Linked DNA regions of Rattus norvegicus. The protein of the gene in region 1 purifies or fractionates together with the protein of each later gene. This does not show direct contact. Links are inferred from orthologs where the notes say so. Each region holds a gene or a part of one and is shown on either strand. Other genes may lie near its edges. The genes, in order: Kat8, Kansl1, Wdr5, Phf20l1, Msl3 and Phf20.

Region 1 (4,207 bases):
CTATTTTTCAATACGAGTATAAAGTTCTTCCAGCAAATGCTTATTCTTTTCATCGATTAGTTTGCCTGTGATGCAGTTCCTAAAAGTAATATGCACTGGGCAGGCTTCTAATGGTGTTAGTGCCCCAGTACAATAATTTACCTGATTATTGGTGGTGGTGGCGGGGTTGGTAGAAAGGTGAAGTTAAACAGCAAATTGGGGGGGGGGGGGGTTGGGGATTTAGCTCAGTGGTAGAGCGCTTGCCTAGCAAGCACAAGGCCCTGGGTTCGCTCCTCAGCTCCGGAAAAACAAAAAACAAACAAAACAAACAAAAAACCCCCAACAAATTGGAGTGTGTCACTCTAATTAATCTACCAGTAAGTTTACCTTGGATGTTATATAGTTTATATAAATCTATGGCTTAACCATGTGTATATATTGTCTAACCTTTACCGAATCTCAGGAAATTGGTCTACTGTACTCAAGAGAAGGGTCACTAAAGATTCTCCAGGCACTGCCAAGATCCATGTTCAATCCCTCCCTGGCTGGAGATGTTCAGCGGTAGTGTTTCCCTAGCTTAATGAAGCTACGGGTGCAATCCATAGCAGTGTGAACATGGTATGGTGACATCCTAACCTCAACATTTGGAAGGTGGAGGTTAGATGAGCACTCAAGGTTCTCCCTGGCCACACTCGGGTTTGAGTTCTTCAGGGGCTACATGAAATTCTTGAGAAAAAAGTTTATTTTGAAGGTAGTTTATTTGGCACACCTGTTCTTTCCCTGTCTCAACTGGTTTTTGTTCTCACCCTAAATGAGAGACGCAGAATAGGTAGCATGTATGTATGAATCTCTGGGTTTTGGCTCCAAGCATCCCATAAAACTTGATACTTGTACTTGAGTACAACTGTAATTCCCAGAAAACTGCCACAAATTCAATGAATTTCAGGGTATCCATTGAAGAGAGCCTTTCCCAAAAAAAAAAAAAAAAAAAAAAAGGAAAAGGCAATACATGGTAGTGCTCGCCTTTAATCCCAGCATTTGGGAACCTAAAGCGGGAGAAGCTAGGTCAGCAAGTTTGTAGGCAGTCTGGACTACGTCACAACAAACTACAAAAAGCGGATTGAGACATGACGAGGCGGTGCACTTTTGAGGACTCAAAAGGCAGAGGTCGGTGGATCTCGAGGCCAGTATGGTCTACATAGCGAGTTCCAAGTCAGTTAAGACTATATAATTAGACCATGTCTTCAAAAAGAAAAAGAAATCAGATTGGGCCAATTTCTAGCAACAACAGCCCCACCGAGTACGCACTACTAAACAAAACCTTGCCACGTCACAACCTCCCCACCTCCAACACTCAAACTATGCCCGCCCCCACTGATCCGGAACTAAAAACGTCTCTCTGCCTGATCGCCAGAATCACTTCCGGCACTGCAATGGCGGCACAGGGAGCAACAGCCGCTGTTGCTGCAACAACTTCAGGAATTGTAGGGGAGGGAGAGCCCGGTCCGGGGGAAAATACATCGGTCGAGGGGCCTGCCCGATCCCCGGGCCGGGTCTCTCCGCCGACTCCGGCGCGTGGCGAACCAGAAGTCACCGTGGAGATCGGAGAAACGTACCTGTGCCGGCGGCCCGACAGCACCTGGCGTGAGGGCGGGGTCCAGGGCCTAGAGGCGGGGTTTAGGGATAGGGCAGGGCCTAGGAATGGGTGCTCCATGGGGCGGAGTTGGGGGGGTTGGGAGTCTTGGGACGAGGGTGGTGATTCAGGTAAGAATATGGAATTCCGGGTGCTGAGGAACCTGCTCTGTAACGGGAGGCTGGAGTCAGAGATTATGCTTGTCTCCTGTAAAGCCATCAAAAAGGTGAACACAGCATTAGCGTATGAACACTCATTCTTGCCCGATTTCAGGCTTCATGTCTTATGCCATGTTTGTTTCTTCGTTGGTGTTTTGTTGGTGGTGTTTATCTTTACATTTCTCTTGTCCACTGCATCGCCAGCAAAGAGCACAGCCCGGTTCATAAAAACACGTGTCCCTTTTACGTATGCTCCTCTTCTTTCCCTCTTCAAAATAAACCACAAGCTATTGTCTTCAAAATAAACTCCAGGGGTTGGGGATTTAGCTCAGTGGTAGAGCACTTGCCTGGGAAGCGCAAGGCCCTGGGTTCGGTCCCCAGCTCCGAAAAAAAGAACCAGAAAAAAAAGTAAATAAACTCCAAGCTCAGATGGCTCAGGAGGTAAAGGTATTTGTCACCAAGTCTGATGATTTGACAATGATTCTTTTTTTTTTTAAGTTTTATTTATTATATATGAGTACACTGTAGCTGTCTTCAGACACACCAGAAGAGGGCATCAGATCTCATTACAGATGGTTGTGAGCCACCATATGGTTGCTGGGATTTGAACTCAGGACCTCAGGAGAACAGTTGATGCTCTTAACCACTGAGCCATCTCTCCAGCCCGAGGCAATGATTCTTACTGGTTGTTCTCGGACATTCATATAAGAGTATCCCCTACTTCCTAGTAAGATAAATGCATGTGATTTAAAAGATAGAATAAATGTTAGTCATGGTAGCATACACCTTTAATCCCAGCCCTGGAAAGGCTCCGTTGGAGGCCATCCTGGTCTGTATAGCAAGTTTCAGAAGAGTCAGGACTACGTAGAGAGACCTTGTCTCAAAAACATAATTAAACTCCTTAAACTTTGATTCATGCCTCAGACCTTTCCAGTTTCTAGGCCCTTCTAGCAAGGGCTTTTGCCAGACCAGGCCTTGCTCTGCTCTCCAAAGACTGCCTTTCTGTGCCTTTTATCACTTGTGCTTGCTGTCACTACCTTTCTCAGGTTTTCCTGGCTAGCTCTTACTCATTTCTTAACTTTATCTCCTGTGGTGATCCCATTCTTGACCCCTTCAGACAAAGTTAATTGCTCGTATGTTCTGGCACTTTTTTTTTTCTCATACCTCAGCCATACTGTTAACATTATCTGCCTTTCTCTGTCCGTGGGGAAACGCTAGAGAGCAAGATCTCTTGTGATTCATTACTGTGTGTGCTTTCTGTGTCCAGCAGTACATAGCAGAGCGCTGGACAATCATTGTTTTCCAGACAGCTCTGCTCCACATCTGTCACTATGCTGAACACTGTAAACTACCTTACCCTTTTAGGTAGATACTATTCTTACTTTCCAGATGAAGGAACTAAGGTTCAGAAAGTCAAATGACAGGGTTACAGTCATTTAGGGAATGTGAAGGAAGAATTATATATAAGCTTAAATCGTTTAATCCCCAGCCAGCTCTCTTGTCCCCCAAAGAACTGAATGACCATATAAAATGAGCACTGACTTTGGAGGTAGCCTTAAACACATCTAACAACCAGGTTCTCTCAGTTTTCAAATCTCTGGTCCTCTGTAAACACCACCGTCACCCCCCAAGAAAAAGTCCTAACCTGGCTCACTGTACAGGTTAAATGGCAGATGTGGACAGATTGTTCTGGAAATTGCCCCTCAAATCCCTCTCCCCTCTTTTTCTTGACAGATTCAGCAGAAGTGATCCAGTCTCGAGTGAATGACCAAGAGGGCCGAGAAGAATTCTATGTTCATTATGTGGGCTGTGAGTGCTTGGGGCCATGGGACCTGGGTGGAAGGAGGAAGGTAGCACGTCAGTCCCTCATGGTCTGTCTTAACAGTTAACAGGCGACTGGACGAATGGGTGGACAAGAACCGACTTGCTCTGACTAAGACAGTGAAGGATGCCGTGCAGAAGAATTCTGAGAAGTACCTGAGTGAGCTGGCGGAGCAGCCTGAGCGCAAGATCACTCGAAACCAAAAACGAAAGCATGATGAGATCAACCATGTACAGAAGGTCCTGGCCCCTTCCCTTCTCCAGGGCCCAGGAGTTCTCTCGGGTCCCTGTAGCAACAAAGCCATAGCAACTCCCACGTAAAATCTGGTAGAGTACTAGGGTGTTTGTCCCTGTTTATTCTTCATATATACAAAACCCAGCTTATAGAGAGAAGAGGGTTGCTCTCTCACAATAAGAAATGGTACAGCTAAGACTGGACCTCAAACTTGAAGTCCAAAGGGAAGGAAAAGAAACCAAATCACATCATTTACTTTCTTATCCAGCACAATGCTGAGTATTCTAAGATCTCATCAAATCCTCCTTGACGTTTTAGCACCACAGGGACAATTACTTCTTTTTGTTTATGAGGAAGTAGGCTCAGAGAAGTTAACATGGG
Region 2 (4,169 bases), on another chromosome or scaffold:
CTAAAGATTTCCCAAAAGTCCAAATGTTTAGGTTATTCAGACTGCACTAGGGCTCTCCCACTGCACTATGCTGGAATCCCAGCTACACCAGTATCTAACTATCAGGGAAGGAGAGGCTGACAGACTTCACTGTTGATCTTGCCTTGGTCCTTTCTCTCATCTCCTCACTTTTCACAGCTCAGTCCTACTAGAGAGTTCTTTTGCCATCTCTGAACAGAAAGAGCCACAAGAGACTTAAAGAACTATCTTTTTATCAAATGGTCACATGTCCACATTGCCCAAATGAGGCGTATCTTGCACACCCTGGAAAAGGAAAGGGCACAATGGCCACCTGTTGAAAAAAAAGTGTAAGGACTCACACATTGGCCTGAGGAGCAGCAGGGCATTTGAAGAATAAACACATATACTGCGTGAAATGTCAGAGCAATCAAATGGTTAATGACACATCTTTTGTAACACATGAATCAGCTACTGATTTGCAAAAGTGGGACACGCCCAAGTTCATATGACTCTGAAGTACCAGTTTGAAAATGGACCTCAAGGTCTGAATTGGCAACACATCTACCAGGTGGAACATAATTTCACAAGATGTAAGCTATAATAAGTAAAAACTGGAACCCATCCTTATAGAGTTAATTTAAGAACTTCACTAATGTCTGAACAGCAGCAATCAAGAACAGCAATAACAAATCCTAAGAACCTAATGGTTCTAAGGATGGGTATCCTGAAGAGCCACAGGTTCAAGAACATTCTAGGTAGATCTAGACCTAGTAGCAAACACCTATAATCCTAGCATTTGGAACGTAGAGGCAGCAAATACATGAAGTTAAGGCCATGCTCAGCAAACTACAAAGTTCCAGAGCAGCCTGGACTCTGAAACCCTGACTCAAAACACACGGGAACAAGTATTCTTGATTCTAAAATACATATATGAAATAACAAAATAAAAATAACGAAAAGCAAATATATCTTACCTTAAGAGGCATCCAAATAGCATACATAGTGTCAGGAATAGTTCAGACAACTCAGAAATAAGCAGGAAGAGACTAAGTAATTCCCCAGTTACCACGGATAAGGAATTAAGGAGATCTGAAAAGGAAGAATTTTTTTCACTTAGATGGAAAAAATAGCATATGTAAATAGCTTAATCTATCTGGGAAAGGCATTCAATACTAGTTGCTTAAAAAGTGTACAAGTGCTGGGCGTGGTGCACTTTAGTCCTAGCACTCAGAGGAGACTGAAGCAGGCTGTTATCTACCAGTTCAACACCAGCCTGGTAGACACAGTGAGTTCTGGGCCAGGTGAGAGCTACTTATTGAGATGGTCTCAAAACCCCCCAAGAAGGAAAAAGATACAATATAAAATTCCCTTTGTAAAGGGCATATGTTTATCTCTGTGTGTGTGTGTAGAAATATATTTTATATCAAAGAACAACGTAAATCTTAAGTAACTGAAAATTACTTATCAAAGGTTCAGAAAACTAAAATCCTAAAGGAAAAGTTATTACTACCAGAGTATTTCATAAACACTACTGAAAATAATTTATTAACTATCTAAAAAGATGTACAACTATTTTATTTGGTAAACAAACAAAAAAAAAAAAACTTCTGACAATTCCAGTTTTTAACTTTTCTTAAAATTGTTTCAGAGCTGAAACTACATTAAAAAAGTAAGTAGCATCTATTCCTCACCGAAGTACAAGCAAAAAAGAAAAGACCATTCTTTTCCAGAGATTTTTAAAAGCAGACCAGAGGAATTAATTTTGAAGATGGAGGGTGTTAAGTTTGCAGGGACTCAGAAGAATGGACTAAATGACTCCTTCTAGGAGCCTATGTCCTAGGCCTGAATGAAAATTCCAGCTTAACCAGTTACTGCTTCACTTAAAATGGAGGCTTGCCCGAGTAGGAACACAAAAATAACACACTCACCTCTTTAAAAATAATTTCTTAAAATCAGAGTCGATGTCCCCGTTTTAAAAATAAAGCTCTGGAGTGGGTTTGCTGTCTCCACGTTTGTCACTTCGGTTAGGGACACTTGGCATCACTTTGCCTAGCGCTCATTGGATTTTGGGGGGTGGGGACGGGAGTTTGACTCTTGACCCGACTCTCAGGCGAGCCTGGGCACCCCCACACACTACCCCGCGACGCGACCCCAGCTCTACAGGACCCCAGCTCTACAGGACCGCGGGGCCGAGATCCCAGCGAGCTCGAGTCCGCGCCCCTCCCCCGCCTCGGACCCTCGTCCGGGAGCCTCTCCCATCCCCCGCGGCCCACGACTCCTCCGGCCCGGTCCCCATTGTTAGGAGGGGGGCGGCCGTGGCTGGGGCTCGCGGCCCGGGGCCCGTGGCTGTTGACCGACTCGCCTCAGGAGGGGGCGGCCCGCGGGATGCCGCTTCCCGTCCTGCCACGGTCCGTCCCACCTCGCTCGGCCTGGCGCCCCCGGCTGTGCTCGGTGCCCCCCTCCCGGGCCCTGTGGCCACTCGTCGCCCGGCACGCCGCGGTCCACGGCCGGAGGCCGAGGCCTTGAGGGTGGGCGCCGGCCGAGGGTCCCCGCGCCCCACACACGCGTCCCCGCGTCCTCAGACCGGCCGCCTTCAGGGCCCTCCGCGGCGCCGGCTCCCGCGACCCCTCAACCTCCCGCCGCCCCGCGACGGCGCCCCCCACGGCGTCCTCCGGCCCAGACACGCCACCCTGCACCACCATCACCCCGACCCGCCGCGCCCCCACCCCCCGGGGCAGCAGTGCCAACGGCAGCTCCCCCGGCCCCAGACCTACCTGCACGGCTCAACCAAGCCTAGAGTGGGGGGCGGGCAAGCTTCCGCCCTCCTCTGTCTCCCATTGGCCCGCCGAGGGCAATTCGCGAGCACCATTGGCTAAGAGTGGACGTCCGTCAGAGCTATGGGGCGGGATGGGGAGGGGGGGAGAGATGCTGGTGCCTTGGCGTCTCTGTCTCTGTATCTCTCTGTCTCTGTCTCGGCCCTAGGAAAGGAGAGGCTTGAGCTGGACGGAGCTGGAGGGCGGCCTGGTGGGAGAAATAAGAATAGGAATCCCTACAGTGCTTCACAGCAGTCCACCACTCAACCCCTGGCCTCAGTCCCTCAGGTCCCCTTCTCTGTCACCCCCAACCCCTGCCCCTCACCTCACCCTTCCAGGTTCTTCATCCAGGAAGCGATGTGATGAGAACCCGGCCCGGAAGGCCATAGGGAGAGATTTTGTATATGTACATAAAATATACACATATATAAATGTTTGTTTTTAAAGTCAACCAGATTTGAGGTCCTGAGGGCCTGGAAAGGCCATACATCTCACAGACCAGGAAGGAATTGAGAGAAAGCTGAGTCAAAAATCACTCTCAGAGGTGTTAACAGTGGTTGCCTCCTGGATGACATGGAGTTCTCAGCAGACCAAGGAAGAGGAATACTTAATCTCTCAGGCACATCCTTTGTAGATACTGATTTTTGTGCCATCCACAAACATTACAGCTAAAATAATATTAATTATCATAGCATGATCCATATGCTTGTGATTATAGCACAAGAAACTCATGCAGAAAATTATTAAGTGCAAAAGCCAGCCTGGGCTACAAAGAGACTATTTCAAAAAAAAAAAAAAAAGAAAGAAAAGAAAAAATATTTTGAATCCAAATATTTTGAAACAAAATGGTTATCTAAGAAAACCAGGACAGCATTCACATGTACTGGGGAGTCTTACCTTTTAGTTTGTTTTAAATACCAGTAATAAGTGTGTTCTGAGGAATTCCAAAACACTGGGGAGACTAAACAATCCACAAATGAGGAGTCAACATACTGAACGATCAACTTTCTCAAATCGGAAAACAAAACAAAACAAAACAAAAAACCAGCTAAAATAATGGCAAAACAGCACGAAGGCAGAGGAGCAAGAATACTAAAACTATGAGAGATCCTTAGGTCTTGAGGCTACACTTAGAGAACTGTTTTTAGGCCATAGTAGACATGTGACAGTAAGAACTAAAAAGAAAATACCCATAAGCCAGAAATCTTAACTTTTTCAGTCTTATTGACACATAAGGATTCTCCCAGAATTTTTTTCATCGTATCAAATGCATTTAGGAAACCTGAGGACACAGACCAGATTCACTGCAGAGGATCATCTGGGCTACAGAGAAGCCCCAAGAACGCTGCTTGTACT
Region 3 (4,235 bases), on another chromosome or scaffold:
GTGGTACACACCTTTAATTCCAGTACTCGGGAGGCAGAGGAAGGTGTATCTACAAGTTTGAAGCTAGCCTAGTCTAAAGAGTGAACTCCACTCTCTTGCTCTCCCTCCTTACTCCTCTCTCCCCATTCCCCTCACCCTTCTCTCTCCATGTGCTCATGGCTGGCATCCCTCAACTCTATCTCTGCCTTTCTCGGTCTCTGCTACCCTCTCAACTCCCCTCCCATGCCCTGAATAAACTCTACAATATACTGTTGACTGTTGTGTGGCTGGTCCCTCAGGGGAAGGAATGTCTCCGCATGAGCCTGCAGAGGCACCCCCTCCCCCCACACCATTCCCTCACACCATATCTCTCCTCCACCAAACATATTCCTTCTCTCCTTATTTTTATAAAACACACGCACAAAAAAGGCATACTCTGTGCTGTGTTTTATAAAAAGATAAGAGAGGAAGGAATATTAAAAAAAAAAAAAAAAAAAGCGTGAACTCCAGGACAGTCAGGGCTACACAGAAGAAATCCTGTCTCAAAACAACAAAAAGGTTCTTGGGACTGAGCTGTTCATAGAAGAGTGTTCACCTAACATGCATAAGACCACCTCACCCCCCCACAAAAAAACAGTGACTCTAGGGCTGGAGGGATGGCTCAGTAGTTAAGAGCACTGACTGCTCTTCCAAAGGTCCTGAGTACAAGTCCCAGCAACCACATCTATAATGAGATCTGATGCCCTCTTCTGTGTGTCTGAAGACAGCTACACTGTACTCAAACAAAATAAAAATAAAAATATTCCCAAGAAAATGGGTAAAAAGGAGAACATGACCGCAGCACTGAACCCTACAACAAATAAACTGCTCCAAGCTGGGGATAACTGTACCGAGGCTGCAGCTTCAGGTGCTCTGTGTGATGGATGGTCTACTCTTGAACCTTCTGTGAGCCTAAGACTTAAGCTTCAAGAAGGCTTCCCACTGCAGTATACAGATGTGTACCGGAATGTGAGCTCTGCTTCAAAGATTCCTTGATACAGTTTTTTTTTTTTTTCTATTCTTTCGGAGCTGGGGACCGAACCCAGGGCCTTTTGATACAGTTTTTAAAAGGCTTTCTAACAGAAACAACAGACCAAGTGACAAGAGTAGACCTTCTGTGCAGAAGTTTGGAAACTCAGGCAAATTCTAAAATACACCCAAAGAATTTGAGGAAACACAGGAGTCTTGTCTGTACCTGGTGGCCTCCACCTCGGCTCCCTTTGACCTCACAGGCTGCAAACTGCCTTCTACAATGCTAAGAGCGTACAGAGCTCAAGGACTCTTGCACAGAGTACTATAAAAAGAGCTACAAGAAAGAGTACAGCAAAGTAGACACCGCCCCCATATGAAACCTCCCAGGAGGAGTAGCAGGAAGAACATCAGAGAAACTGCACCAGAAGAAGCTGCAGAGCTGAGGGAAAGCAGTTACTCCCTTCAGCAGTGCAACTGCAACAACTTCCTACAGTTTACAGGCCATCCCGTGACTGGGAAGTGAGTTAGTGCTCCTCCAATGGAGCGCTCCTAAGACATGCAAACATCACTGGCCATCATGATCCCTCAGCCATCAGTGTAAGGAGAAATCACGATGCACAGCCTAGCTTTGAGACTAAACCTGACACCTCACACAGACCCCACGGGAGACTAAGAGGAGACAACACCAAAAGAGACCAAAGCCTCAGTCTTCAATCCTAGGAAGGAACAGTAACACCCACCACACAGGGCACAGGTGTAGCCTGCTCCACCAAGGTCAAATTCTGCTGTAGCTCAAGCCCAGGTGCAAGGATCCAACTAGGGGTAGGTCCCCTGCCTGGGTCCCTCCACAAAGCAAAGCTCTTGTGCCCAGGAAATACCAGCTGCTTGGTGTTTTTAGCTTTTTGGAGACAGGGTCTTGCTATGCACCAGTATTCAAAATCCTGCCTCAATAGCCGCAGTATGGTTGGTGTAACAGGCATAAATCAACTCCCAGGCCTGACCTGAAGCTGCTTAACGCAACTATATGGCCATGAGTTCCCAGAGCCAACATGTTTGTGGATCATACAGGTAGCAAGAGGAGCTGAGAAGATGTTAAGTAATGAGATAGAAAGTCCTACCACATCTCCCTGCTTCAGGGAAATAAAAGGCCAAGGGAGCAGGGCAGATCTCTGGGGTAGGAAGTCTCGAGGAACTAAGCAGTGTCTTTTAGCATATAAAGAGATTCACCTAGCCTCGGGTGAATGGCCTTGCAAAACAAGCACGAGGATACCCAACCCTGCCCATCCCATCCCACCCTTTATAAACTGATTCTTTCAGGAAGCCAAATATTAACATATGAAGACACTGGGTGTGCACCACACTTTGATCCCAGCTCTAATAAGTTCACAGCCCCAAACAACCAACCAAAAAAAAAAAAAAAAAAAAAAAAAAAAGGAAAAAGAAAAGAAAGAACATTAGCATTAGCCAATCTACCTCGCAGCATTCAGGAGGTTCGGGAATTCATAGTTAAATGTGAAGCCAGCACCAACCTGAAACCGTCTCAAAGGAAACCAATTTCCAATTCCACTGGGTAGAGTCCAAGACAGAGAGCACTCAGGTGTTCTGTTTTAAGGTCACCGGAAAGCAGGACTTGAAGAGGACAGCTCTGGGAGGGAGGTGTGTTAAGCAGGATCCTCAGCAGGTGGTTTGGAGCTGGCCTCCACGGCCCACAAAGGAGGCAGTTAACTGGCAACCGCAGCTTTACACTACAGGGAACGTGATCATGGAAGGGCAGCAGCCATCAGTCTCCCTCCAATCAAATGCAGATTCCTTGTTTCCGCCTTAGACACTGAGTACACAAGTATGGGAAGACAGAATGGTCCAGTCACTCAGGTGAGTGCAGTAGGTAACCCAACAAAGAGCTCCAACCCATCCTCTCTGGACTACTGGATACCCCTAGGTCCTAGTACCATTGGCTTCACACCACTGTACTCTCAACTGCCTGGCTGACCCAGACAGTGCTCAAAACCCACTTGACCAGTCAGCCCTCGTCAGGTAGAAACTTGCACTAGGACACGGGTGAAGGTTGTGGTGGCAGCACGAAAGCGCCAAGTGGCCAAGGAAACCTGAGAGATGCTAGCTGGGTGTCCCCACTCCCAGGGACGCCAGCCTGAGGTGTGAGCCACGAGGAGCTCGCAGGGCTACGGGTCTAGGGGCGCAGCAGGGGCCGCAGTGGAAGTAGCGAGCCGTGGCGGCCACAAGGGGCGGCGGGGTCGGGGCGCGGCCACAAATGCGGCGCCGGGCCCGGCCGGAGGCCCACGGAACACGTGCGGCGCTGTGGATCCCGAAGCCCGTGGGCCCTCGTGGTCGCCGCCCCCCTCGCGCCCGCAGGACCGGGTCACTCCCTTACCTGCCGGGGCCGGGGCGGCGGGGCCGGGCGCTCTGGCGTCGCCTCGGCTGGCCCTGCGCGCGAGAGCAGACGATCTGGTGGACCAGTCGGCCGCGGCGCGGGAGGCGGGAGGGATTGCGCGTGCGCGAGGGGGCGGGGCAACGGGCGGCGACGAGGGTCAGAAAAATTAGAGGAGACGGAGCGCCTTAAAGGGCCCACCTATGATTCTTGCTTCCTATTTGACCGCCACTAATTTTCAGTGCCTGCAGACCGGAACTCTCTGCAGTTAAAGATGGGTAAAAATGTGCTTATGTGCCTTTCCTGTTAAATTCCAGGCTATGTCGCCAAGCTAATAGCAGCTTGCCTGTCGTGGCCTGTGCCTGCCCTGGACTCTAGGAAACCCTCTTGGTGCCACTGGTGGACGTCCACGAGGTCCGGAAGTCCGGAGCGCCTGCGGTCTCCCCTGCCTACCGCAGGGCGGGGGCTTCCTGCCACTGCAAACCACAGCTCAAATTGAACATACTTGCCTCTCTTCTAAGCTGGGCCACAAAGAGACTCTGCTGTGCACCCCCACACTCAGAAAAAGATCTTAGGAACTATCGCCGCAGGAAAAGCTCCCCTGCGTGTCCAGGGAAGGCAGGAAAGAAGGGAGCTTGCATGCTAACAAGAGAGGAGCTACCTGACTTAGAAGACAAACAAAACTGTGGACAGGAAAGGCAAGTGTCACTAACACAGGGGCTCCGAGTCCTCCCCAGCCTATGCATGCATCTGGAACCAGGCAGTTTGTTCTTTAGTGTAGGTGTCCATCGCTCACATTCCAGGCAGCCGCAGCATCCACTACAATTGAGCTTCCATATGGCTCTGAAGCTCCATTTTA
Region 4 (3,500 bases), on another chromosome or scaffold:
AAATGCTGCTAACATAGTCCTTATAAATAATGCTTTGCAAAGAAATATTAAAATAGAGATGAAATTTATTTTGATAATCAGTATAAATACCGACCAAATGCATGTATACTCATACTCATTTGCACTGGTATAAAAGGAAGAACAAAAACAAAAACAAAACATACACATCAACATAGGAAACAGAGAGAACTTCACAAAGTAACTTCAAAATAGGGAAGAACAGTTAGGTAACAATAGTAAGAAAGCCAGATATGATGGTACATGTCTACAACCTCAGTACTCTAAAAAAGAAAGCCAAGACTTCCAAGCCAGCCTGATGTACATTACTCATATTCCATACTCTGTGGGTTATGGACATAGTGAGCTTCTTTTTCAAGGAAACAAAACAGAACTACTGCAACAAAAGAAATACACTAAGAGAAAAAAGCATGCAGACCACATAGAAGTCCAATAAATGTGTAACAAATGGATACAGTTTTAAATAAAAGAACAGAACATGAATTACACCACTTTCCTTAAAAAGGAAAATTCACAAGTCATAGAAATGAATCAAAAACTTACTTTATCCCATTCAAATACTGTGTGTGTACTCTACATGATTATGTTACACCAGTTTTCAGTAGCTAACTTTGAAACATGCATTTTCTTCTTTAAAGCAATTATCTAGACTGCACTAACTGAGGTAGGAAGTCCTAGCCTAGTCGTGGGCAGCACCATGGGCTTGGTCCTGGATTCAAGAAGAAGGAGAAATGGGCAGACTAGAACAGGAACAGCCATTCATCTGTTTGCTGACTTGCTACCTCCATTCTGACTTTCCTGTGATGGTAGACTGCATCCCCAGAACTCTAAGCCAAAATGTATCTTTTCTCCTTAAAAGCAAAACCAAAAACATTCAAAAATTGCTGAGCACTGTGCTCTTAATGTTAAGCTGACAATGGTTGTGCCTTCTCTTTCCCCTTGTATAATTCAACATCATAAACAAAACCAAGAATTACCTCCATAGCCATAGTTATAAATCTGCGAGGAATTTAAAGGGGAAAAAAAAAACAGCCAAAAACAAAAACAAAACAGAACCAAGGTAACACCCTGATTTAGAAGATAAATCAAAGGATTTTAGTATACAAATACTGCTTTGATGTTTAGAATATACAATACGAGAGGGAGGGAGGGAGGGAGGGAGGGAGGGAGGGAGGGAGGGAGGGAGAGAGAGAGAGAGACTCTGTGTGTGTGTGTGTCTGTGTGTGTGTGATTTGCCTGCATATATGTATTACACCCATAAGAAGTCAGAAGAGGGCACTGCATCCCCTGGGAGTAGGGTTACAGATGGTTGTGAACTGCCATGTGGTTGCTGGGAATCAAATAAGCCATTTCTTCAGCCCTGCATAACATTATTTAAGACATACTAGTCTGTATTTCAGCCTTATTATAATCAATTCAAACATGTACTTTTCAGAAACATATAAATATCTTCATGTACACATTGAAAAATCATTTTCCCAATAGGTATTATGTTAATATGACATCAAGATCATTCTCATATATCCAGTGCAGTAAGGATTTCCAGGCTGTTAAAAAGTGAGACCTTTACCAGGAAAACTTCCTGAAAAGGTCAATGATAATTCAGGAATCTTGTGCAAAAAAGATAAACTGAATTACTCTAAGATCAGGTTTAGATGAATATCCAAACACAATGGATCAGATCTGAGAAATAAAAAGCAATCTCTCAAAACCCACAGGTCTTCAGTTGAGGGCATTTTTTATTTCTAAATAAGAAAGAACTATTATATATAAACCTATTTAAATCTTTACAGGTAAAATAAAAGTATTGGTCATTACATGTACAAATGCTGACACTGCTACTTTGAAAGAAAGAACAAGTTAAAGGCACAAGTTAAGCTATTGCTGTCATTGTTTCAGTGGGTACCACAGACAGAACACAGTACGCTATATTTTGGTTTCATCCAAGAAGCCAATGCCACTTTCTTTGGGGAAGATGTTGTTAAACATAATTATTGTTAATGCATTTGGCTACTTTACATTTGTCTCCTAATCTAACTTGACTTAAATCTCTCACTAGCCAATTCCAAATTAGCAATTTACTAGAAAGAAGATAATTAAAATATACTACGTACATGTATTTTTATGAAATTATAATATTATACAGTATCTTCTTGCTTCAAGAATAAGAATTTCTGGAATTGTATTTAACTCTAATAATTTCTAGTAGCAAAGACAAGTATATATTTCATATAATTTATTTCCTGTTTTGAGACAGGGTCTTGCTACATAGCTCTAATTGGCCTAAAACTTGCTAGGTTGACCAAGCTGGGTAGCTAGAATTTGCTAGCTCCAGATGCAGCAATACAACATTTTACACACACATTAAAAAAGCAAACAAAAGAACCCAGGCATGAGGGTGCATATCTTTAATCACATAACTTGATGTGTGTGTGTGTATGTGTGTGTCTGTGTGTGTGTGTGTGTGTGTACACTGAGGAGGAGGAGGGCTCACCCTTTTCAGAGGAGAAGGGGAGGGAGGAGTGGGGGAGGATTTGTGTAAGGGAGTACCAGTAGTAGAGGGGGGCTCATATTGGGATATAAAATAAATAAATTTTTCTTAAAAAGCGAAAGAAAGAGGGAGAAAAAAGAATGAAGAAAAAAATGACAAGAAATATGTCTAGGGAATGCTCACAATGATCACACAACAAATTTTTAAAACAAAGAAATTCCATCCAAACACAAAAGGTACCTAAAAGTTCTTACATGAGGGGTTTTATATGAATTTGAGGGAAGTTAAATATCAAAATGTCTATGCAAGACTTAACCAAGAGCACCCTTACCTGTAGCTGCTGCAGCTCCTTTTACATCACTCACTACTTTGGAGGTGGGATTTGCAAACAATGGTGTCTCCTCCTTTTCTTCCCTGGGACATTCACCACCAGGGTAAGAGGAATCTGGGGCTTGACTTCCTGTGACTTCTGAACCACAACTTAAATCAAGAGGGAGACAGGGTCCCAGCTTCTGGAGCGGCACATATGCAATAGCAGGCACTACATAAAATTAAAAAGAAAAGAAAACCATAATATTAACACAGAGAAACTGGTTCAGTTCATATCAATGCAGATCACTGGTGTTTATACAGTGCCTGACAAAAAGAAGGCACCAGATAGGTTATCTGTAGCATATACAAAGTGCTTGTAAGCCAAGAGACATTAAAGAGAACTTAATATTTGAAAAATTGATGTTAGTTATTTGGTTCTATAGGAAATCAATATACATTACCTTCTGGTACTGAAGACTCTTGCTGATTCTGAGAACTGATGGAGAATACTTTCCCATCAGTTGCTGAAGAGGAAGAAGAAAGCTTTTCTAGAGAATCATCAGGCATGGGTAAGGTGGCTAAGCGCTGAGATCTTCTTCTTCTCTCACTATGCTTGCAAGGTCTAGGGGGATTCACAGGCTGTGGAGAACCTAGAAAAAGATCTTCAATGTTCACGAAG
Region 5 (3,500 bases), on another chromosome or scaffold:
CATGTGATTTTTACCTAAATAAATAATGTCAAGAAAAATGTACCAGGGGCTGGAGTGGGAGTCAGGGAAATATTTCATCTTTCAAATTTGTTTTTAACAAGTGTTTTATGCCTTAATTAAACCTCATTCTATCACCTCATCCATTGTGTATATACATGAAACATTATTCCATTACTATAAAATATCTCAAACTGACTAATCTAAAGTGCCAAGTAGACTGGTAGTTTCCAAGGGAGGTGGGGAAGGGCGGATGAAGGTAGGAAAGCTTTCTTTCATTCTGTGATGAGACTATATGAACTGATTGTGAAGACAGCTGTACAGTTCTAACTATACTAAAAATCACTTCAAATAGGGAATTTTCTAGCATACTCCGTCGAAACCAGCAATCTCATTTGAACATTTTATTCAAACGGAATTCTTCAAGGAAAGTTTTGAAAACAGGAATGGAAATGTAGCAATCTATTAGCACAATTCATCTTGAATGAGTATAGAAAACATGGGATTCCTATAACTACACCAGCTCACAAAAGTAGCAAAGAGGAAGGATAACAAATCAACCTTAAACACAGAGCCCAGTCTGGCCTCCCTAGTTCTCACTGAACCACCCAAGCCAGTAGCTTTCTGTGGATGTTTTCCTTTTCAAAGGAAGTAGCTTTATAGCAACCTGTGTGAGATCTGGAGAATCGCACACTTTATACATACTTGAGAGGCTAACAACAAACGAAAAAAACACCTTTCCCTGGCCTGGGGCTCTTAGGACAAACTCACTCTTTTCCAAGTGCAGAAACAGCTTCGGCATGCTGGTGGATGTGTCCTGTTGCCTGCGCTTCGGCTGAGGTGACGAGCTGCTTTCAGACAGCCTGTCACAGTTGGTGCTGTGCCGCGTGGACCTCCTGAGAGACTGCAGTGCCTCTGGCTCTGCTTTGCGCCTCTTGGGGGTGGCTGGTTCACCAGTAGGTGGCTGACTCTCTGTAGACTGTGGTGTGGATGGATTCAACAAAGGTGGGCTAGGAGACAGCTCCTCCTGACTCCTGGGCAGGAAAGAAAGTGTCACTGGCAGCCTCTAAAGATCTGAGGGCTTCTGCAAAGCCACCTAAAGTCAGGTCCACCAATCAACTTGGAAGGGAGGAGGTGACTCACGGGTATCTCCAAATATATGCAAACACACATTTTCTTAAGCAGTCGATAAATATATGAGGTTACCATATCTTTGCAAAGCATGCTACTTTCAGACAGAGACTGAAATATCCTCTTCTATATGTTTCGGAACAAGGTCTCTAAGAGGAAAGGCAGAATTTGGCCCCATCCCAGAAAGCAGTTGCTAATGTTTGCTGTCTATAGTGCCAGCCTGGTGATGGCCTGTTACAACTGAAGGCAGATATGCTGTTCCCTAGTGGATAGAGACCAGACACACTGCTAAGTGTTCAATGCCACACTGGACAGGCTCCCAGGACAGAGAAACTCTCTGGTCTAGGGAAAAAGACAACCACACGATGTCTTCAAAATGTAAAACCTGCCAGGATTTGAGAATGGCACAAGTATGTCTAAGTCTATGCCAGACTCTGGGAATCAGCAAGTATGAAGCAAGCCATTCATGGGGACTTTGACACAAGTGCCCAGTGAGTCTTGCTGACCTCTTACCTGGGGCGAAAGTGACACGGAGAAGGGAGGAGAGAGAGAAGCTGTCAAAGAGATGGTAAAGAGGCAGAGAACCATGAAAAGGAGAGGAAGAAGGAAGGCAGCTAATGCAGGGCACAGACAGTTATTTGTGACAAAGGAGGTAGAGTCTAGTGAAAGAGCAGTAGATACGAGCAGATGCTGGTTTAACATAGAGGGATGCTGCTATTAATGCTGGAAAACTTGGTCCTCTGGCCATGATATGACCACTGACATCTTGGATTGGGAGCAGCTGTGATGACCCACATAAGATCCTCATAACCACTAACATTGCCTGTGAAAAGTGGCAGGGCTCCTAAGACACATGAGAGCCACACCCCCTTATGAGTACACTTAAATCGTTAATGCCTGCCAGCTCTTCTTCAGCAGTGTGGCTACCTGTAAGTAGCGCATGTTCCTGTAACTAGCCCAGTTACACTCATTCCCTCACCAAGGGAGACTTGATGCACACCATTCCGGAACAGAAGAGAGAGGACATGGCCGAATGCCTTAGTAAAATTAAGGGAAAAGACTTTAGGTGAGCATGGATCCATCCTTGCAGCCCCTGCCAGAACAGAGAACAAAGCATGCATAGGCACAGGAGGAAGCAAGGCAGTAATAAAAGCTAAGTAGGGAACTAACCTATACTGAGAGCCAAAGGTTACTGACCCCTTGTTTATGACATCATGAATTGCTACCCCACCAGGGAGATAGCCAGCCGTTCATTGCATACTATGGATATAAAGGGGAGAGGCTCAGAGGAAGCTGACCCGGATCACATAACATTAAGCAATGGATGTCAGCTGTACTTCCACTTTCTACCCTTCTGGCCCATGTTGCCTGGTAACTCTTTACTGTCTTCTGAAAGGTGGGACAGCTGCTCGGAATCCATTGATAACATTGTATTGACTTAGGAATCTTCTGCCCACCTACCCTTCTCTTGCTAAGTAGTCATGGCTAGACTAGAACTCTCTCAGGAGACCACCTGGCCTCAAATTCACAGCAGTCCTCCTTCCTCAGCCTCTTTGATGCTAGAATGGCACGTGTCATCATGCCTGGCTACACTGGAATGCTTACTTGGGGGAAAACCTTTCACAACCATGAGAATGTGAATGATGATCTAGCCAATGAGGGCAGGAGACGTGGGGGTGTTGGGGGAGGCACCAGTAAGGACAACCTACAATGTTTCCTTTCCTTTAGACATTCAGGCCACCATGTCAGCAGATCAAACACTTCCACAAAGAAGCGAGTCGGCTCAGTGTTAACTTACCTATTAGTTGTCGTGGTACTTTCCTTAATAGGAAGAAAGAATTTTGACGATGTCACCCTTTTATATTGAGTTTGTTCATATGGATAAAGCAAAACCAATGGGAGAGTATAATCAAAAGTTATTCGTAATCCATCCACCATCTCCTTACAAAGGTCAACACTAGGAAGATTGAGAAAGAAATGATTAGAGACTAGAGACCAGGTAAAGTCATAAAAATTTTCAAACTTCATGAGAAAGGTATATATTTTAAAGAGAGCGGACTTATCTTTATTCTTATTTTATTATTTTATTCTAGAGATAGGGTCTTACTATATAGCTCTGGCTGGTATAGACCTCTCTATGCAGACTAGGGTGAAGCCAAACTCACAGAGATTCATCTGCCTCTGCTTCCTTGAGTGCTGGGATTAAAGGTGGGTGCTATCCAGCTGAGGGCAGACTTTTAAAACATTAGATAACAACTTATATATAAAAAGAATAAACATAATATATCAATGAGAATAATAAAGAAATAGGGGAATATAGACCATAATATAGACAGCAGACAGTATGCTAATACCTTAAATGTATCCATATC
Region 6 (3,500 bases), on another chromosome or scaffold:
TAAGGCTCCAAGCCCCTTCCAACAGTACTGCCTGCCCCAGCTAGTCAGGTGACAGGCCCTCCCTTCGCTGGACCCTGCTTCCCATCTGTCAAATAACAGATGACCTGGGTGATTCCTGGGCCCTGCCCATCACAAGCCTCCTTGGAAAGGACAGGAAGCATGAGCTCAGGGACTCGGCAGCACTTCCTGCTCCAAAGGCTCAGGAGACAGCACCCTCCAACCCGATGCATTCACTCGAGTCACTCGTGAGTGCAATGGCAAACACGTGCCCTCGGACATCCCTGCAATGCCACCAACAGAGCCACACACTCATCCTCAGCTCTCAAGGAAGAAACTCTCTCACTACTGAAACTGGAACAAAAGATTGGCAAGGCCCTGAGCAAGAATGACAGGAGAATTCGTGGAGCATTCAACACTGTGGACAGTTTTGATCAGACCTACAAGCTTTGTGCTTCTCGTTAACAACACCATATGTGTTTCCCACTACATTCCAAGACCAGGCCTTCTGCTAGGTAAGCATCTTCACACATATCCCTTACTGCTACGTTCAGAAGGACAGGCCACCACGTGGGCTTGCAACAAAGGTGAGCAGAGTCACCTGGTCATTAGCGAAGATTCTCCGAGAGTACAAGCACGGTGTGTGGAAAGTTGCTGTGCTAAGGAAGAGGTTACATACTGCTCCCAACCCAGCTCCAGAAAGCTCTACCTGGAGGGTCTTGGCAAACGTAGCAGGTGTATTTCTCGGGCACATTTTCTTCCAGTAATCCCATGCAGACCCCGTGCTGCCAGCACTGGCATTCTTCACACTGTGAGAATTAAAGAAGCAACAGAACTTAGAAAGTAGAGCCCACTGACCTGGAGTGTGGGTGAAAGGAAATGGGGGGAGCGCTCCCTTCTGACCTCTACTCAACAAAGCTATGGCTACACAATGACCCAACTAGGCCACCACTGATCACATGGAGGGTGACGCATAACGAACAAATTAAGTTAAGAGTCCTTAGTTCTTCAGTCCCAAGAGCCATTTCAGAAGTGTCCGTATGACTATTGTCTCTGGAACAGAATAGAGCACAATAAAGAGAATCTAGATGGTCAAGTGTGGTGGAATATGTCTATGATCCCAGAACCTGAAAGGCAGAGGCATGAGGATAGGCTCAGCCAGACTCAGTTACACAATGAGACCAGAGCCAGCCTGGAATACTTCAGAACCTGTCTCAAAAACAAAACATGGAGCAAAAATGTAATCAGTTGAATAGTACTGACTTCAGACTGATTGCTGCCATTCCTGCCGCTCAGCCTCATGATCACTTTGTGGGGCTTAATGAAACCTGTTCAAACTCTTAGAATACATTATGTGTTACATGGCACAGTTCCAGGTCTCAGCCCTAGGCCTCAGTTTCCCCAAGTGGAGATGCGATACTGTTCCTGCCCACACCACAGGCTGTCTGTTAGGAATCCATGGGTCATATGCACATCCTCCCACTATGAACTCAGCACAAAGCCTCACACTGAGTTTCTATTATTAACAGATGGTAGCTAAGTCCCTCTGGCCTCCTAGAGCAATCACGCCCTAGTTCTCTGCATTTATTCTTAAAACTTGCTGAAGGTTGCACAGGTGATTAATGGCACATGAGACAGCGTGAACTTAGCCAAGTGCAAGAGTTCCTGCAAAGCCTGCGCTCAACCCCCTCTTTCCTGGTCCTGGGAGACCTGCCAGGGTCAGGAAGCAGAAAGGATCACTACCTTGAAGACACTAACTTTACTTGGGCTTATAAAACATTGTGGCCCCCAAAAATAAGGAAGTTGGTAGCTCTGAAACTAAGCAGGACTCTAAAATTAGTAGACAGAAAATATATGCAGAGAGGAAAGATGAGAGGGAGGGGGCCAGCCCTGCCAGGGAATTAGACTATTACAAAGGCATAAAATAATCACACAGCATTGTTGTGTTCTTCCGCCTCTGCTTCACTGAAAAAGAGAGGATCCAGAAAGAGACCCGAATGTACAGAGAAAGGCAGTAAATCAAGCAACATTTCAAAATGTGAGCACACTGCCAGTAAACTGAAGTCACAGCCCTCACTCCACACCAAAATAAGCATGCATAAGGTGCTTAAAGAACAAAGCGTCTGAAGTTCTAGAAGAAGCCACACAGATCTACACCCAGGAAGCAGAGACAGCATGGTAGCCTGTGCCTGTAACCTCAGCATTTAGGAGACAAAACAGAAAATACAGCATGTTTGAGAAGAAATGGGGCCAAGTGAGACTGGTTAGTTTCATTAGCTTGAATCTAGAATCACGGTGAAGAGTCTCTCATTTAGGGATTGTCTAGATCAGGTTAGTTTATGAGTCTGTTTATTCAGGATTGTTTTGGATAGCGTGAGAGGGAGACCCCCATTATAGGTGGTACCATTCCTGGGCAGGGGATGCTAAACCTTGCCAGAGTAAAGAAGTAAGCTAAGTGTGGCATGCAGGTATGAATTAGTTCCACTCTTCTTCTCGACACTGAGACAGGAGGAGCTGGCTTCATGCCCCTGCCACCACACCATTCTATGTCCATCTAGAACTGTGGGCTACAGTAACTTCTCCCTTAAGTTGCTTTTGTGAGGATATTTTATCATAGCAACAGAAAAGTAACTAAGACAGAGACTCTGCCCTTAAAAAAAAAAAAAAAGGACAAAAGACATAAATGCAACTTCAAATTTAAGTCAACTTCAAATTTTGTTATCATGCATATAAAACAAGGAAAGCAAAAAGCCAAAAAAGCCTGCTCTTCCTAATACATATAGCCTATGCAGAGATGTATGGTAGGTAGGCTGCCAAATCCCTTCATTGGGAACACCTGCTGCCAGCACACATGCATGCTCACATACACACACATACATACACACACACATACATACACACACACCAAATAACAGAGGAAGACAAATTATAAAACCTGACTCCATTTCTTCCCTCAGGACACCAGGGAAATTTATCTCAAAGAGAAGATGAGCCCATAAAGAAGACTGAATTACCACTCTACAGTCTGAGTCCCTGTTGTCCAACTCCTCTCTGTGAGACCACAGGCAAGGCTTTCCCTTTGGCCTCAATGACTTCTCATTCTATAATGGGTTATTTTCAGCAACCTAGAATTCCCAGAAATCTGAACCCAAAAGCAAGCTCAGTCTAATGCTGTGCGAACTGCTCACATGACTCACTCATGTCTTCCTCTAACCTGTGTTCTGGAAACTCTACTTGCCTGAATCATAAAGTCATTTTCCTCCTGCACTCCACAGATGCATCGGACCACCTCAAAGTCATAGCGGTCGTCGCCTTCAAGCTCCTCATCTGGGTTGGTGGTCACATCAACATCTTGACCGTATTCCTCATCACTCCAAAGAAAGCTCTCGGAAGAGGACTCGCTCAAATTATCCTCCTCTGGAAGGAAAGGGAAGCCAACAGTCAGTGCTCTAAACTCACACGTAACATTGTGTTTCATCCCCACTTGTCCAGGGACTTCCATG

The links.
Region 2: the proteins of Kat8 (region 1) and Kansl1 purify together in Homo sapiens (affinity purification with western blotting; 4 studies listed by BioGRID and IntAct, with this or other methods). This does not show direct contact. The link is inferred for Rattus norvegicus from reciprocal best matches to the Homo sapiens genes KAT8 and KANSL1.
Region 3: the proteins of Kat8 (region 1) and Wdr5 purify together in Homo sapiens (affinity purification with mass spectrometry; 5 studies listed by BioGRID and IntAct, with this or other methods). This does not show direct contact. The link is inferred for Rattus norvegicus from reciprocal best matches to the Homo sapiens genes KAT8 and WDR5.
Region 4: the proteins of Kat8 (region 1) and Phf20l1 purify together in Homo sapiens (affinity purification with mass spectrometry; 3 studies listed by BioGRID and IntAct, with this or other methods). This does not show direct contact. The link is inferred for Rattus norvegicus from reciprocal best matches to the Homo sapiens genes KAT8 and PHF20L1.
Region 5: the proteins of Kat8 (region 1) and Msl3 purify together in Homo sapiens (affinity purification with mass spectrometry; 4 studies listed by BioGRID and IntAct, with this or other methods). This does not show direct contact. The link is inferred for Rattus norvegicus from reciprocal best matches to the Homo sapiens genes KAT8 and MSL3.
Region 6: the proteins of Kat8 (region 1) and Phf20 purify together in Homo sapiens (affinity purification with mass spectrometry; 3 studies listed by BioGRID and IntAct, counting the BioPlex papers as one, with this or other methods). This does not show direct contact. The link is inferred for Rattus norvegicus from reciprocal best matches to the Homo sapiens genes KAT8 and PHF20.

The regions. Positions count from the first base shown.
Region 1 is NC_086019.1:191,953,420-191,957,626, forward strand, and holds the start of Kat8 (histone acetyltransferase KAT8), read left to right. Parts: upstream 1-1,407; 5' UTR 1,408-1,412; coding exon 1,413-1,623; intron 1,624-1,701; exon of another isoform or gene 1,702-1,838; intron 1,839-3,504; coding exon 3,505-3,579; intron 3,580-3,655; coding exon 3,656-3,831; intron 3,832-4,207.
Region 2 is NC_086028.1:89,865,821-89,869,989, forward strand, and holds the start of Kansl1 (KAT8 regulatory NSL complex subunit 1), read right to left. Parts: upstream 2,801-4,169; 5' UTR 2,775-2,800; intron 1,600-2,774; exon of another isoform or gene 1,090-1,599; 5' UTR 975-1,089; intron 1-974. UniProt on the Homo sapiens protein: Non-catalytic component of the NSL histone acetyltransferase complex, a multiprotein complex that mediates histone H4 acetylation at 'Lys-5'- and 'Lys-8' (H4K5ac and H4K8ac) at transcription start sites and promotes transcription initiation.
Region 3 is NC_086021.1:31,234,311-31,238,545, reverse strand, and holds the start of Wdr5 (WD repeat-containing protein 5), read right to left. Parts: upstream 2,801-4,235; 5' UTR 2,520-2,800; intron 1-2,519.
Region 4 is NC_086025.1:100,254,139-100,257,638, reverse strand, and holds part of Phf20l1 (PHD finger protein 20-like protein 1), read right to left. Parts: intron 3,472-3,500; coding exon 3,283-3,471; intron 3,051-3,282; coding exon 2,841-3,050; intron 1-2,840.
Region 5 is NC_086039.1:29,216,964-29,220,463, reverse strand, and holds part of Msl3 (male-specific lethal 3 homolog), read right to left. Parts: intron 3,086-3,500; coding exon 2,927-3,085; intron 2,222-2,926; exon of another isoform or gene 2,108-2,221; intron 1,032-2,107; coding exon 769-1,031; intron 1-768. UniProt on the Homo sapiens protein: Non-catalytic component of the MSL histone acetyltransferase complex, a multiprotein complex that mediates the majority of histone H4 acetylation at 'Lys-16' (H4K16ac), an epigenetic mark that prevents chromatin compaction.
Region 6 is NC_086021.1:165,260,837-165,264,336, reverse strand, and holds part of Phf20 (PHD finger protein 20), read right to left. Parts: intron 3,415-3,500; coding exon 3,236-3,414; intron 807-3,235; coding exon 707-806; intron 1-706. UniProt on the Homo sapiens protein: Methyllysine-binding protein, component of the MOF histone acetyltransferase protein complex.